Saccharomyces cerevisiae S288C: one gene and its partners. The protein of the gene in region 1 interacts with the protein of each later gene in a biochemical or structural test. Each region holds a gene or a part of one and is shown in the gene's direction. Other genes may lie near its edges.

Region 1 (3,789 bases):
GGTGTCACCAAAACAACACATAGTCACGTTACCATTTTCACCAAGCATCACCTCCCATTCAGTTCTGACGAGCTTTGCGACATATTGCAATCATCTGCTGTTGATATATTGCAAATGGACGATAATAATAACAGTCTACCAACTATTGAATTGGGAAGCGGAATAAACGTTCAAATATTGGTTGAACGAAGCAAAAGGCACAACTGTCCCAGATGTTGGAAGGCCAACTCAGCCGAAGAGGATAAATTGTGTGACAGATGTAAAGAAGCTGTGGATCATCTCATGTCTTGAATGACATGTACCTTTCCTGTATATAAAGAATGCCAATTATTGGCTCTTAGAAAATAAAAACCCTCTTGTACTTATTAGTGGGTACCTAACAGGTCCCCTACTGACATTTTGATGCAGGGCCTCGGCCTATTGTTCTTACCAGCTCTCAGCGCGTTATACGAACAGGAAGCAAAGAAGAGAAATGTAAAAATATTGCTTTTGAGAGACCGTGTAAGGATAAGTGTTACACCCAAGGCACCCTCACCAGGAACATGACTGTCATGAATCTTTTCTTCAGGCCCTGTCAACTGCAGATGGGCTCTGGACCGTTGGAGCTCATGCTTAAAAGGCCAACGCAATTGACCACGTTTATGAACACCAGGCCCGGCGGATCAACCCAAATTAGATTCATATCGGGAAATTTAGATCCAGTGAAAAGAAGGGAGGATAGACTACGTAAAATATTTTCCAAGTCACGACTTTTAACAAGGTTAAACAAGAATCCTAAATTTTCACACTATTTCGACCGCCTCAGTGAGGCCGGCACGGTTCCAACACTTACATCATTCTTCATCTTGCATGAGGTAACTGCCATACTACCACTGTTTCTACTATGGTGGTTACTTTATAACCTCGATCTTTCTGATGATTTTAAGCTCCCAAACTTCTTAAATGGCCTAATGGATAGCTGTCATACAGCTATGGAGAAATTTGTTGGTAAGAGATATCAGGAATGCCTCAACAAAAACAAGTTGATTTTATCTGGCACAGTAGCCTACGTTACAGTAAAATTACTATATCCGGTACGCATTTTCATTAGTATCTGGGGAGCACCATATTTTGGGAAATGGTTGCTTCTTCCCTTTCAAAAATTAAAGCACCTTATTAAGAAATAAAGCTTTTTTTTCCTTTTTTTTTTCTGGCCCAGAGACGGATTATTGTTTTCAGTTGAAGTTGCGCACTCGGCATATGATTTATAGATTCCCAATATATTGTACTTCGTTATATATGTGTTACGAATATTTTTGATTTCGTTTTAGAGAGTTTTGATTAGAGGAAATTATAGCTTTTTTTAACAGTGAAATAAATATCATACATCAAAAGTCTTCAAGAATTACGTGGTGTGGCTTAAGTTGCGTTTCATTTTCCCGCTTCAATACTTGAAAGTTATCCCACAATCACTGCTGACAAAAAGGATACAAGAAAGGTTTATAGGAAAGAAAAAAGGCGGAAGGGTATACTGAAGTTAGTAATTTTGCTTCCCAATTGAATTAAGGCCGCCTAGTTTTGACGGGAGGAGAGAGAAATGTATAATGGCAAGGATAGAGCACAAAACTCCTATCAGCCAATGTACCAAAGGCCTATGCAGGTACAAGGACAACAGCAAGCTCAATCGTTCGTTGGAAAGAAAAACACAATCGGAAGTGTGCATGGAAAAGCCCCGATGCTAATGGCCAATAATGATGTTTTTACTATTGGACCTTATAGGGCAAGAAAAGATAGAATGCGGGTATCTGTCTTAGAAAAGTACGAAGTTATTGGCTACATTGCTGCGGGCACATATGGTAAAGTTTACAAAGCGAAAAGACAAATCAACTCCGGTACCAATTCCGCTAATGGTTCTAGTCTGAATGGTACCAATGCGAAAATTCCGCAGTTTGACAGCACGCAACCAAAATCAAGCTCTTCAATGGACATGCAGGCAAATACAAACGCATTAAGAAGAAACTTGTTAAAGGATGAAGGAGTGACCCCCGGAAGAATACGAACTACGAGGGAAGATGTATCCCCGCACTATAATTCCCAAAAACAAACCCTCATTAAAAAACCGCTGACGGTATTTTATGCCATTAAAAAGTTCAAGACAGAGAAGGATGGCGTCGAACAATTGCATTATACGGGAATATCTCAGAGTGCCTGTAGAGAAATGGCATTATGTCGAGAATTGCACAACAAGCATTTAACCACATTAGTGGAAATTTTTTTGGAAAGGAAATGTGTCCATATGGTATACGAATATGCGGAGCATGATCTGCTACAAATTATCCACTTCCATTCCCATCCCGAAAAAAGGATGATACCACCAAGAATGGTTCGGTCTATTATGTGGCAGCTTTTAGACGGCGTATCGTATCTTCATCAAAATTGGGTGCTTCATCGAGATTTGAAACCCGCAAATATAATGGTGACCATAGATGGATGTGTTAAAATTGGTGATTTAGGTTTGGCCAGAAAATTTCATAATATGCTGCAAACCCTCTATACTGGGGATAAAGTGGTTGTCACTATATGGTACCGTGCACCTGAGTTGCTATTGGGAGCACGGCACTATACCCCTGCGGTTGATTTATGGTCCGTTGGCTGCATTTTTGCAGAACTGATAGGATTACAGCCCATATTTAAAGGTGAAGAAGCTAAACTAGACTCTAAAAAGACTGTTCCATTTCAAGTGAATCAACTACAGAGAATTTTGGAAGTTCTTGGCACTCCCGATCAAAAAATTTGGCCTTATTTGGAGAAGTATCCAGAATATGATCAAATTACGAAGTTTCCAAAGTATAGGGATAACCTTGCTACATGGTATCATTCCGCGGGAGGAAGGGACAAGCATGCTTTAAGCTTACTTTACCACTTGTTAAATTATGATCCAATTAAAAGAATAGATGCATTTAATGCGTTGGAACATAAGTACTTCACAGAAAGTGATATTCCTGTTAGTGAAAATGTATTTGAAGGTCTAACTTACAAATACCCGGCAAGAAGAATTCACACGAACGATAATGACATCATGAATCTTGGATCAAGAACGAAAAACAATACACAAGCTTCAGGAATCACCGCAGGTGCCGCTGCAAATGCGTTAGGTGGGCTTGGTGTTAACCGTAGAATTCTGGCCGCGGCAGCAGCAGCCGCTGCTGCGGTGTCAGGAAACAATGCATCAGATGAGCCATCTCGAAAGAAAAACAGAAGATAGGCTTCTATTTTTATATATATTTGGAATTTTTCATTCCACAGCACTGTCACTATTATATTCATTAAACTTTTTTTTATCTTTATAGTATTTAAATCGGCATACAGTTTCAATTTTTCGCTTTAGAGGCACTAAGAATGCAAGTCTGCAACATTCAGGTAAAATAATGGGTTGATTTTAGGTCGAGCTAAAACCCTGTTCTCCGCAGATGTATGCGAATTTCGTCATAATTCATCTCAACTAATGGGGCTTTAAAACATATGAATATCTCATGCATTCCCAAAAAAGAAGAAAGAAAAGACTTCAAGTACCCCCCTTAATTTTTATATAATGGTAGTAGTAGGTTTGTTCGTAACTTATCGGCAATAGTAATATGTTCCCATTATAACACATCTGTTAATGGTATTCAGGTTAATAACCATAGCAAAAAATATAAACAACTTTGTACATTTTCCATAAAAAAGAATGACTTTACGAAAACATTGGATGAAACAACCAGTTCATCCCGTTCAAAGTCTAAACTACGTATAAAGTAGAGTTATCATCGG
Region 2 (3,332 bases), on another chromosome or scaffold:
ATCATTAGTGCAGAAAGGGAAAAGGAAAAAAGCGAAGAGATAACTAAAAAGGATTAATAGTATACGTAATTTAGTCTACTGTAAGTATGGTCAAAAATTTTCTTTAGTGAGAAAAAAAAAAAAAAAGAGAAACGATAAACGCTGTACAATACCAGTGACTGCACTGCTCCGAAAACGTCCGAGATATGTATATTGTCCGAATTTTTTCATACTTTAATAGCTGGCCAGAGAAACCTTATAATTTTGTGGCTGCAAGCTATCGCGCTGTTCCTCTGTGACAGGCAACACAGAACAACTAACCGCCTGTCTTTTATGCCTGTACACTTCATTAAAATTTACCGTTTTCTTCCATTACAAGCGGGGACACTTTCCGTTTAAACCTGCAATATGTTGCAGGGCCTATCCACGCCAATTTACTGTGGCAGAAGTTACTGCAGTGGAAGAACTACCTTTTCCAGCATAGCCTCCGCCACCAAAAAATGCAGGTGCTGCGTTTTCTGGATACGTGGCTGGCCTTTAAAACGCATGGGAGGGACAGTATCTCACCGATTTGGTAATGCCGTGATGCAACCTCGAGGATCCGGTTTTCAAGAGCGGAAGTAAAAAACCGGGAAGATCTAATATTTCCTTATGCAGGTATTCTGTGACTAAAAAGTATAGAAGACTATTTTGCACCGCTCCCTGATTAGACTTCGTGCGATATTATTGATGGATATCGTCTTTATCTTTCCGTGGACCTAAAACGGCACCCCTTCGTCTAGGATAAACGCGGTCGGCTCTTTCGAAGACTAAAAAAGCAGCCACAATAACGTTACATGCAAAATCAGCCCACTCGAAGTTAGATACTGCGTAGACGGATTTGCACGATGCGATGATAAATATTAGGGACAGTGCGTGCCCACCCATAAGTTGCTGTAGAGCTTACAAATTGTAAAGACTAATTCCAATCGCACGCCCACCCCTCACGGGAATAAGTTAGAATGTTGCGGAATGAACGATAACTTCATATTAGGTAAAAGGGAAGAATGCAACGCTGCGGTCTACGGGCTTTTTTCTGCGAGACCAATTTTCTTCTTTTGTTTTTTTATTTCGATATTTAGTTTTCATGCAAACGGGTATTATTCTTGACAGGCCATTATGTAAGAGTGTGGAAACATAATTCTTGCACATACGACGTTTTCTTAACTGTTCCTGTTTCAAGTTACGGAAACGCCTGTGGCCCAGGTAGCGTAGGCAAAATCAAGCTCAGAATGGGTTACGTAATTATGACGTTTTCGAGTGCGAGGATGTCAGAAAGGAGAGCCAGAATTATATATATATGGATGCATCTCTCTGCATATAAAATTAATTTCCCTTTCGTACAGTTCCCTACTTTTTTTTCCCTCTTTCGTTTGCAAAAGAAGGCGGCCATACTCATTAAAAACCCCTCCCCATTTTTCCTTTTTTTTTTGTTTCCATATAGGAAGAACTCTACAGCTCGAACAATACATCAAATCAATCAAGCAGTCGCTCTCGTTCTATTGTGTGTTTCTCACCACCTTACATATCTCCCCTCAGTTCCCAGCCTATAACTTTGTGGTTCTCTTCTTTTCAACTTCTTCTTCTTGACATTATACTTTAATAAGACCATTACTTCTTTTTCTTTGCTGGAATTCATAATTCATTAAGCAGAAAATATGTACCATGTTCCTGAAATGAGGCTACATTACCCCCTGGTGAACACTCAATCTAACGCCGCAATAACACCCACCAGAAGTTACGACAATACCCTTCCTTCGTTTAACGAGCTATCACACCAGAGTACAATCAATCTTCCATTCGTCCAACGCGAAACTCCAAACGCATATGCTAATGTTGCCCAATTAGCTACGTCGCCAACTCAGGCTAAATCAGGGTATTATTGTCGCTATTATGCTGTGCCTTTTCCCACATATCCACAACAACCACAATCTCCATATCAACAAGCTGTACTTCCTTATGCCACCATTCCCAACAGCAATTTCCAACCATCTTCTTTCCCTGTGATGGCAGTGATGCCTCCAGAGGTTCAATTTGATGGATCATTCTTGAACACCTTACATCCTCACACAGAGTTGCCTCCAATCATTCAAAACACTAATGATACTAGCGTCGCACGTCCAAATAACCTTAAATCAATAGCAGCAGCGTCACCAACAGTGACAGCAACAACAAGAACACCTGGCGTCAGTTCAACGTCAGTTCTCAAACCACGCGTTATAACTACGATGTGGGAAGATGAGAATACTATCTGCTACCAAGTAGAGGCGAACGGTATATCAGTCGTGCGTAGGGCTGACAACAACATGATTAACGGCACCAAGTTGTTGAATGTCACGAAGATGACAAGGGGGAGAAGGGATGGAATATTAAGATCCGAGAAGGTTAGGGAAGTCGTGAAGATTGGCTCCATGCACCTCAAGGGTGTTTGGATTCCTTTCGAAAGGGCTTATATCCTGGCTCAACGTGAACAGATTCTAGATCATCTGTACCCGCTCTTCGTCAAAGATATAGAATCCATTGTTGATGCCAGAAAGCCCAGCAACAAGGCATCTTTGACCCCCAAATCTAGCCCTGCCCCCATCAAGCAAGAACCATCTGATAATAAACACGAAATTGCTACTGAAATTAAGCCGAAGAGTATTGATGCTTTATCGAATGGAGCATCTACTCAGGGTGCTGGCGAACTGCCCCACTTAAAAATCAACCATATCGATACTGAGGCCCAAACAAGTAGAGCAAAAAATGAATTATCATAAGCACATAACATAATCCGTTAACTCTTTGCTCTATGAACAAGAACCGAAGTTCTAGAAAGGCTGATAGGATTCGTACAATCATTTTTACGGTCGAACTTCTGTAGTTACTCGATATATAAATATAAATAACGGACATAAAAAAAAAAATTGTAACATTATAAATCATAAAATCATAATCATATCTATTTCTAACTTCTGACTATTGCGCAATTCGTTAGAGTCTTTCCACCACGTCGATTGGACAAATCTTTATCTGTCTACTTCTAATATACTGTACATCATACCTGTCTTTTTATGCTGCTATTGTGGAGGAACCGTCATCTTTTCGCGCGAAAAAACAATATGATGCCTTTTTGAAACATGTTATTATTTGATTTTTTAATGGCTTCTATTACGCGTCGTGGTTGGTGAACCTGGTACAAAATAAATAAAAAAACACCTGCTAAAAAATATCAAATAAAGTAAGGAAGGTAATACAAAAAGAGAGCGTTGGCTCGTGTTACACAAAAGCGGTTTCGAACACAATCAGAAGAAAACAACAAGGACTTTTTTGCA
Region 3 (3,467 bases), on another chromosome or scaffold:
TATGAATTACCTGCGAGATAGATTTCCTCCGGATAATGACCAAAGACCCTTTAGATGTGAAATTTGTTCACGAGGTTTCCACAGACTTGAACATAAAAAAAGGCACGGAAGAACGCACACTGGCGAGAAGCCTCACAAATGTACCGTTCAGGGCTGTCCGAAAAGCTTCAGCCGAAGCGATGAACTAAAAAGACATTTGAGGACACATACTAAAGGCGTCCAAAGGCGCAGAATAAAATCCAAGGGCTCGCGAAAAACCGTTGTGAATACTGCTACCGCCGCCCCTACCACCTTCAATGAAAACACTGGTGTTTCGCTCACGGGGATAGGTCAATCTAAAGTGCCACCTATTCTTATCTCCGTTGCTCAGAATTGCGATGACGTGAATATACGAAATACTGGAAATAATAATGGCATTGTGGAGACACAGGCACCTGCAATTTTAGTGCCTGTGATAAATATTCCAAATGACCCTCATCCGATTCCAAGTAGCCTCTCCACTACTTCTATCACCTCCATTGCATCAGTATATCCCTCTACTTCTCCATTCCAGTACCTGAAAAGCGGGTTTCCTGAAGATCCTGCATCTACACCGTATGTACATTCGTCCGGAAGTTCTTTAGCCCTGGGTGAATTGTCTTCAAACTCCTCTATATTTTCGAAATCTAGGAGGAATTTGGCCGCCATGAGTGGTCCTGATTCTTTGAGTAGTTCTAAAAACCAATCCAGTGCTTCGCTTCTTTCTCAAACTTCACATCCATCAAAGAGCTTTTCAAGACCGCCAACAGACTTAAGTCCTCTGCGAAGAATCATGCCTTCTGTAAACACAGGAGACATGGAAATTTCAAGGACAGTATCCGTTTCGAGCAGTTCATCATCACTCACTTCTGTTACGTATGATGACACCGCGGCTAAAGACATGGGCATGGGAATATTTTTTGATAGGCCACCTGTAACACAGAAAGCTTGCAGGAGCAATCATAAGTACAAGGTTAATGCTGTTAGCAGAGGGAGACAACATGAAAGGGCACAATTTCATATATCTGGAGATGATGAGGACAGTAACGTTCACCGCCAAGAATCAAGAGCATCCAACACAAGTCCCAATGTATCATTGCCTCCGATAAAGAGCATTTTGCGACAAATTGATAATTTCAACAGTGCTCCTTCTTACTTCAGTAAATAAACAAGCAGTAAATAAAACGTATAGAATATAAGAAGGAAAATAACAATGGGTTCTTGAAACTTGATATACTTTTTCCTGGAATGAAGACGCAAAGAAAACCTTTGGAGAAAATCATTGCAAATTTAAAAGCTGTGCTTCAAAAAACCCATGTGAGACTGAAACATGGTCCAGTGGTCTTCATCCGGACCGGTTCAAAGTCCTGCTCTACCTTCAATAATTTGTCTTTACCGTTAAAACACAGGCCACGCTATTTTTTTTGTTGCACTAATTTTCATCCTTAAGCGACCAATTTGCTCCCCTTTGGAAAAGCTCACGAAAAAACGTGGCAAAGAAAACAATACCGATCTCGTAGGATTTGGGCCACTGTTGTAATCGCAAGTAGAGAGCATCCTAGATAAGAGCTACTATATTTTGTATAAGGTCGTTTCCTGCACAATAATAAATTATCTACACTGAAATATGGCTGGCGACAACCCTGAAAACAAGGATGCTTCCATGTTAGATGTCAGTGACGCAGCTAGCAACACTACGATTAATGGTAAACATAGCGCCGATTCAACTAATGAGGCTTCCCTGGCGTACACTTTTTCTCAAATGAACGTAGATAATCCTAATGAATTAGAGCCTCAGCATCCTTTAAGACATAAATCGAGTTTAATTTTTAACGACGATGATGACGATGAAATACCTCCATATTCAAACCATGCGGAAAATGGTTCTGGGGAGACCTTTGATTCTGATGATGATATCGATGCTAGCAGCTCGAGTAGTATCGACAGCAACGAAGGCGATATCCACGATGCAGATATGACAGGAAATACCTTGCAAAAAATGGATTATCAACCATCTCAGCAGCCTGACTCACTTCAAAATCAAGGCTTTCAACAGCAACAAGAACAGCAACAGGGCACTGTGGAAGGCAAGAAAGGAAGAGCTATGATGTTTCCAGTTGACATCACTTGGCAACAGGGGGGTAATAAAGTGTACGTTACTGGGTCTTTTACGGGATGGAGAAAGATGATCGGGTTAGTACCAGTCCCTGGACAGCCTGGACTTATGCATGTAAAATTACAGCTGCCTCCAGGTACTCATCGTTTCAGATTTATTGTTGACAATGAGTTAAGATTCAGTGATTATTTACCTACCGCAACCGACCAAATGGGAAACTTCGTCAACTATATGGAAGTGAGCGCACCGCCTGATTGGGGCAATGAACCTCAGCAGCATCTGGCTGAAAAAAAAGCGAATCATGTAGATGATAGCAAATTGAGTAAGAGACCTATGAGCGCTCGCTCGAGAATCGCATTGGAGATAGAAAAGGAACCAGATGACATGGGCGATGGTTACACTCGTTTTCACGATGAGACCCCCGCTAAACCTAATTTAGAGTACACTCAAGATATACCTGCTGTGTTCACCGACCCAAATGTAATGGAACAATATTATTTGACACTTGATCAGCAGCAAAATAATCACCAAAATATGGCCTGGTTGACTCCTCCACAACTGCCACCTCATTTAGAAAACGTCATTTTGAATAGTTACTCAAACGCGCAAACTGATAATACGTCTGGCGCCCTTCCCATTCCGAACCATGTTATATTGAACCATCTGGCGACAAGCAGTATTAAGCATAATACATTATGTGTCGCATCCATTGTTAGGTATAAACAAAAATACGTGACCCAAATACTGTATACACCATTGCAATAGATATGATTATAGAGCTTATAGCTACATCTTTTTAGATAAAAGCGAAGATGTTTCTGCGATTTTTCCATTATAGCTCTCCATGATACTAAATATCAAGGTCTACATGTAAGTATTTGTATATATGGGTTGGAATGTATATACGTATATACGTACGTACGTACGTATATGCACATAATTGTTACGGGATGTATATATAAATTAGTAGCATTATAGAAGATATCCCTAACATCAATCCCCACTCCTTCTCAATGTGTGCAGACTTCTGTGCCAGACACTGAATATATATCAGTAATTGGTCAAAATCACTTTGAACGTTCACACGGCACCCTCACGCCTTTGAGCTTTCACATGGACCCATCTAAAGATGAAGATCCGTATTTTATAGGAAACATTATAAATAAGGAAAGAGAGATACACCTATTTTTTTCATTTTGTGGGTGATTGTCATTTTTAGTTGTCTATTTGATTCAATCAAAAAACAAAAATAAAACTATATATTAAAAAATGGTTGAATCAGATGAAGATTTCGCACCTCAAGAATTCCCACACACGGACACAGACGTTATCG
Region 4 (5,209 bases), 390 kb from region 1:
TTTTCCTTAGCGTGCGTTTATGAAAAAAAATGGAATATGAATAATTACTGGGAGGAAGACCAGGGGCAAGGGGTGAACCATCTTGTCATCTGAAATCTTGTATAAATAATTTAGTAATCAGTTCTTTAGGTTTTCGAGAGTGGCATACAACCTAAAGGGTCAACAGACAACAAGAAGGAAAGGAATTATAGGAGCAAATACACGCCCTTCAAATGGATCCCTTTCACAATGGCAATAAAAGGAGCTCAATATCGTTTGGCTCATCGCAGCGGCAGCCATATAACAAGAACAATTACTTGAGTGGTACTAATGGGCCTTCCTCGGCGGCACAAGATCAAGGTAGAGGCCCATCTCCCTTTGGAATGTCTGGCAACACTACCAATGGCGGTAACAGCAAAAGGAATAGTGGCTGTGACCTAAGTGCCACGTACTATGCAAGTCGATCGCCGATGTATTCACCGTTAGATTTCTCGCCACCAGTTTTTTCACCAAATCATTCTCAGTTACAGCAGGCGAGGGGCTATGCTGCAAATATTCCGGTTGTAAGCAATCTGATGAACCCTTCCATGGCCTCCGTGTGCGAATATCAATCACACTATCCACTCTTTGGGCTCGATTGGAGCGCCGACGACTACGTCTGCTTGGGTTCGTACAAAGAGGACAGCAGAAATAAGTTGCAGGTTCTGCACTCTAATGATCTACTGAGCTGGGAAAGCGTAGTGGACGCAGATGTGGTTTATCCTGTGAGCAAAATCCAATGGGTCCCCTCTCAATTGTATCCAAGGAAACTCGCGACGTGTTCTGACTCCTTACGGATTTGGAGCGTTAGCCCTGAGGAAAGACAGTTCCAAGAACAAATAAATCTATCTCTGTGTAAATACAATAGACAGCACCCCGCCAATCCCGCGGCCGCAGATGACATGAAGGTCATAGGCACTTTCCCACCAATAACATCATTTGACTGGAACACGGTCGATACTAACTTGATAATCTCAAGTTCCATCGACACCACATGCATTGTATGGGATCTGCAAAGCAGTCACTACGTTAAGACCCAATTGATCGCTCACGACAGCGAAGTTTTTGATGTAAGGTTTTTGACAAAATCGACCCAATTATTTGCTAGTTGTGGTGGGGACGGTAGTGTACGAGTATTTGATTTAAGATCGCTTGCGCACAGTACAATTATTTACGAGCCTCCCTCTTCCTCAGTGTCTGGAGCCACTGCGGGTACTATAACACCGTCGTCGAAAGGTTCGGACGCCTTATTGAGGCTGGAGCCATCACCGTATGACCCAAATGTGTTGGCCACTTTTGCAGCTGACTCGAACAAAATCATTATTCTAGATATGAGGAACCCAGAATCCCCTATACTAAACTTACAAGGCCACGGTTCTTCGGTAAACGGGATTAAATGGCATCCCACAAAGCGCAATGTTTTGCTCTCGTGCGGAGATGACTGCCAGGTGCTCTATTGGGACTTGAACAGCTCCTTTATGGAAATTAACGCTGCAGGTAGCAAATCCCCCAGTATTCATGGAACTTCCTTGGAGGACCCTGACGGCGACACAGAGATGACAGACGGTGGCGCAGGATCCGGTTTAAACGAGGATCCCTTAAGTTTAAACAACAACAGCAAGCAGGTGTGCAAGACACTAGAGACTCCTAACATGATGTATGCCAATAAAACACAAGAGATAAACAACATTGCATGGAGGCCCCAGAGGGGCGATTGGTTTGGGTGCGTGAGCGGCAAGAAGTTTCAAAACGTCCGCGTCCTTTGAGACAGCATTCGCCCAGTATTTTTTTTATTCTACAAACCTTCTATAATTTCAAAGTATTTACATAATTCTGTATCAGTTTAATCACCATAATATCGTTTTCTTTGTTTAGTGCAATTAATTTTTCCTATTGTTACTTCGGGCCTTTTTCTGTTTTATGAGCTATTTTTTCCGTCATCCTTCCCCAGATTTTCAGCTTCATCTCCAGATTGTGTCTACGTAATGCACGCCATCATTTTAAGAGAGGACAGAGAAGCAAGCCTCCTGAAAGATGAAGCTACTGTCTTCTATCGAACAAGCATGCGATATTTGCCGACTTAAAAAGCTCAAGTGCTCCAAAGAAAAACCGAAGTGCGCCAAGTGTCTGAAGAACAACTGGGAGTGTCGCTACTCTCCCAAAACCAAAAGGTCTCCGCTGACTAGGGCACATCTGACAGAAGTGGAATCAAGGCTAGAAAGACTGGAACAGCTATTTCTACTGATTTTTCCTCGAGAAGACCTTGACATGATTTTGAAAATGGATTCTTTACAGGATATAAAAGCATTGTTAACAGGATTATTTGTACAAGATAATGTGAATAAAGATGCCGTCACAGATAGATTGGCTTCAGTGGAGACTGATATGCCTCTAACATTGAGACAGCATAGAATAAGTGCGACATCATCATCGGAAGAGAGTAGTAACAAAGGTCAAAGACAGTTGACTGTATCGATTGACTCGGCAGCTCATCATGATAACTCCACAATTCCGTTGGATTTTATGCCCAGGGATGCTCTTCATGGATTTGATTGGTCTGAAGAGGATGACATGTCGGATGGCTTGCCCTTCCTGAAAACGGACCCCAACAATAATGGGTTCTTTGGCGACGGTTCTCTCTTATGTATTCTTCGATCTATTGGCTTTAAACCGGAAAATTACACGAACTCTAACGTTAACAGGCTCCCGACCATGATTACGGATAGATACACGTTGGCTTCTAGATCCACAACATCCCGTTTACTTCAAAGTTATCTCAATAATTTTCACCCCTACTGCCCTATCGTGCACTCACCGACGCTAATGATGTTGTATAATAACCAGATTGAAATCGCGTCGAAGGATCAATGGCAAATCCTTTTTAACTGCATATTAGCCATTGGAGCCTGGTGTATAGAGGGGGAATCTACTGATATAGATGTTTTTTACTATCAAAATGCTAAATCTCATTTGACGAGCAAGGTCTTCGAGTCAGGTTCCATAATTTTGGTGACAGCCCTACATCTTCTGTCGCGATATACACAGTGGAGGCAGAAAACAAATACTAGCTATAATTTTCACAGCTTTTCCATAAGAATGGCCATATCATTGGGCTTGAATAGGGACCTCCCCTCGTCCTTCAGTGATAGCAGCATTCTGGAACAAAGACGCCGAATTTGGTGGTCTGTCTACTCTTGGGAGATCCAATTGTCCCTGCTTTATGGTCGATCCATCCAGCTTTCTCAGAATACAATCTCCTTCCCTTCTTCTGTCGACGATGTGCAGCGTACCACAACAGGTCCCACCATATATCATGGCATCATTGAAACAGCAAGGCTCTTACAAGTTTTCACAAAAATCTATGAACTAGACAAAACAGTAACTGCAGAAAAAAGTCCTATATGTGCAAAAAAATGCTTGATGATTTGTAATGAGATTGAGGAGGTTTCGAGACAGGCACCAAAGTTTTTACAAATGGATATTTCCACCACCGCTCTAACCAATTTGTTGAAGGAACACCCTTGGCTATCCTTTACAAGATTCGAACTGAAGTGGAAACAGTTGTCTCTTATCATTTATGTATTAAGAGATTTTTTCACTAATTTTACCCAGAAAAAGTCACAACTAGAACAGGATCAAAATGATCATCAAAGTTATGAAGTTAAACGATGCTCCATCATGTTAAGCGATGCAGCACAAAGAACTGTTATGTCTGTAAGTAGCTATATGGACAATCATAATGTCACCCCATATTTTGCCTGGAATTGTTCTTATTACTTGTTCAATGCAGTCCTAGTACCCATAAAGACTCTACTCTCAAACTCAAAATCGAATGCTGAGAATAACGAGACCGCACAATTATTACAACAAATTAACACTGTTCTGATGCTATTAAAAAAACTGGCCACTTTTAAAATCCAGACTTGTGAAAAATACATTCAAGTACTGGAAGAGGTATGTGCGCCGTTTCTGTTATCACAGTGTGCAATCCCATTACCGCATATCAGTTATAACAATAGTAATGGTAGCGCCATTAAAAATATTGTCGGTTCTGCAACTATCGCCCAATACCCTACTCTTCCGGAGGAAAATGTCAACAATATCAGTGTTAAATATGTTTCTCCTGGCTCAGTAGGGCCTTCACCTGTGCCATTGAAATCAGGAGCAAGTTTCAGTGATCTAGTCAAGCTGTTATCTAACCGTCCACCCTCTCGTAACTCTCCAGTGACAATACCAAGAAGCACACCTTCGCATCGCTCAGTCACGCCTTTTCTAGGGCAACAGCAACAGCTGCAATCATTAGTGCCACTGACCCCGTCTGCTTTGTTTGGTGGCGCCAATTTTAATCAAAGTGGGAATATTGCTGATAGCTCATTGTCCTTCACTTTCACTAACAGTAGCAACGGTCCGAACCTCATAACAACTCAAACAAATTCTCAAGCGCTTTCACAACCAATTGCCTCCTCTAACGTTCATGATAACTTCATGAATAATGAAATCACGGCTAGTAAAATTGATGATGGTAATAATTCAAAACCACTGTCACCTGGTTGGACGGACCAAACTGCGTATAACGCGTTTGGAATCACTACAGGGATGTTTAATACCACTACAATGGATGATGTATATAACTATCTATTCGATGATGAAGATACCCCACCAAACCCAAAAAAAGAGTAAAATGAATCGTAGATACTGAAAAACCCCGCAAGTTCACTTCAACTGTGCATCGTGCACCATCTCAATTTCTTTCATTTATACATCGTTTTGCCTTCTTTTATGTAACTATACTCCTCTAAGTTTCAATCTTGGCCATGTAACCTCTGATCTATAGAATTTTTTAAATGACTAGAATTAATGCCCATCTTTTTTTTGGACCTAAATTCTTCATGAAAATATATTACGAGGGCTTATTCAGAAGCTTCGCTCATATAACGAAAAAAAAGGGTTTGGATCGAACGTAATTGAGATTGATTAGTTAATACTCAAAATAAAACAGCTCCTACCACCAGTGTAAAGTAGAACGTTAATAGAGCAATGTCTTCAGACAAATCTATTGAGAAAAATACAGATACGATCGCCTCTGAAGTTCACGAAGGTGATAATCATTCGAATAATTTGGGTTCAATGGAGGAAGAGATAAAATCAACGCCATCAGACCAATATGAAGAGATAGCTATAATTCCAACTG

What was found.
Region 2: of the proteins of SSN3 (region 1) and PHD1, one has a biochemical effect on the other in vitro, tested with the Saccharomyces cerevisiae proteins (one study listed by BioGRID).
Region 3: of the proteins of SSN3 (region 1) and GAL83, one has a biochemical effect on the other in vitro, tested with the Saccharomyces cerevisiae proteins (one study listed by BioGRID).
Region 4: of the proteins of SSN3 (region 1) and GAL4, one has a biochemical effect on the other in vitro, tested with the Saccharomyces cerevisiae proteins (3 studies listed by BioGRID).

Annotation. Positions count from the first base shown.
Region 1 is NC_001148.4:472,495-476,283, reverse strand, and holds SSN3 (cyclin-dependent serine/threonine protein kinase SSN3), read left to right. Parts: upstream 1-1,576; coding exon 1,577-3,244; downstream 3,245-3,789. Other genes in the region: isoleucine--tRNA ligase ISM1, read left to right, coding at 1-291; MRX11 (Mrx11p), read left to right, coding at 543-1,166. UniProt on the Saccharomyces cerevisiae protein: Component of the SRB8-11 complex. The SRB8-11 complex is a regulatory module of the Mediator complex which is itself involved in regulation of basal and activated RNA polymerase II-dependent transcription.
Region 2 is NC_001143.9:355,072-358,403, forward strand, and holds PHD1 (Phd1p), read left to right. Parts: upstream 1-1,676; coding exon 1,677-2,777; downstream 2,778-3,332. Other genes in the region: DNA primase subunit PRI2, read left to right, coding at 1-8; MMO1 (Mmo1p), read left to right, coding at 1,251-1,571. UniProt on the Saccharomyces cerevisiae protein: Putative transcription factor that functions in pseudohyphal growth.
Region 3 is NC_001137.3:208,411-211,877, reverse strand, and holds GAL83 (Gal83p), read left to right. Parts: upstream 1-1,645; coding exon 1,646-2,899; downstream 2,900-3,467. Other genes in the region: MIG3 (Mig3p), read left to right, coding at 2-1,186; CHO1 (CDP-diacylglycerol-serine O-phosphatidyltransferase), read left to right, coding at 3,404-3,467. UniProt on the Saccharomyces cerevisiae protein: Beta subunit of the SNF1 kinase complex, which is required for transcriptional, metabolic, and developmental adaptations in response to glucose limitation.
Region 4 is NC_001148.4:79,200-84,408, reverse strand, and holds GAL4 (galactose-responsive transcription factor GAL4), read left to right. Parts: upstream 1-2,052; coding exon 2,053-4,698; downstream 4,699-5,209. Other genes in the region: YPL247C (uncharacterized protein), read left to right, coding at 213-1,784; GTPase-activating protein GYP5, read left to right, coding at 5,056-5,209. UniProt on the Saccharomyces cerevisiae protein: This protein is a positive regulator for the gene expression of the galactose-induced genes such as GAL1, GAL2, GAL7, GAL10, and MEL1 which code for the enzymes used to convert galactose to glucose.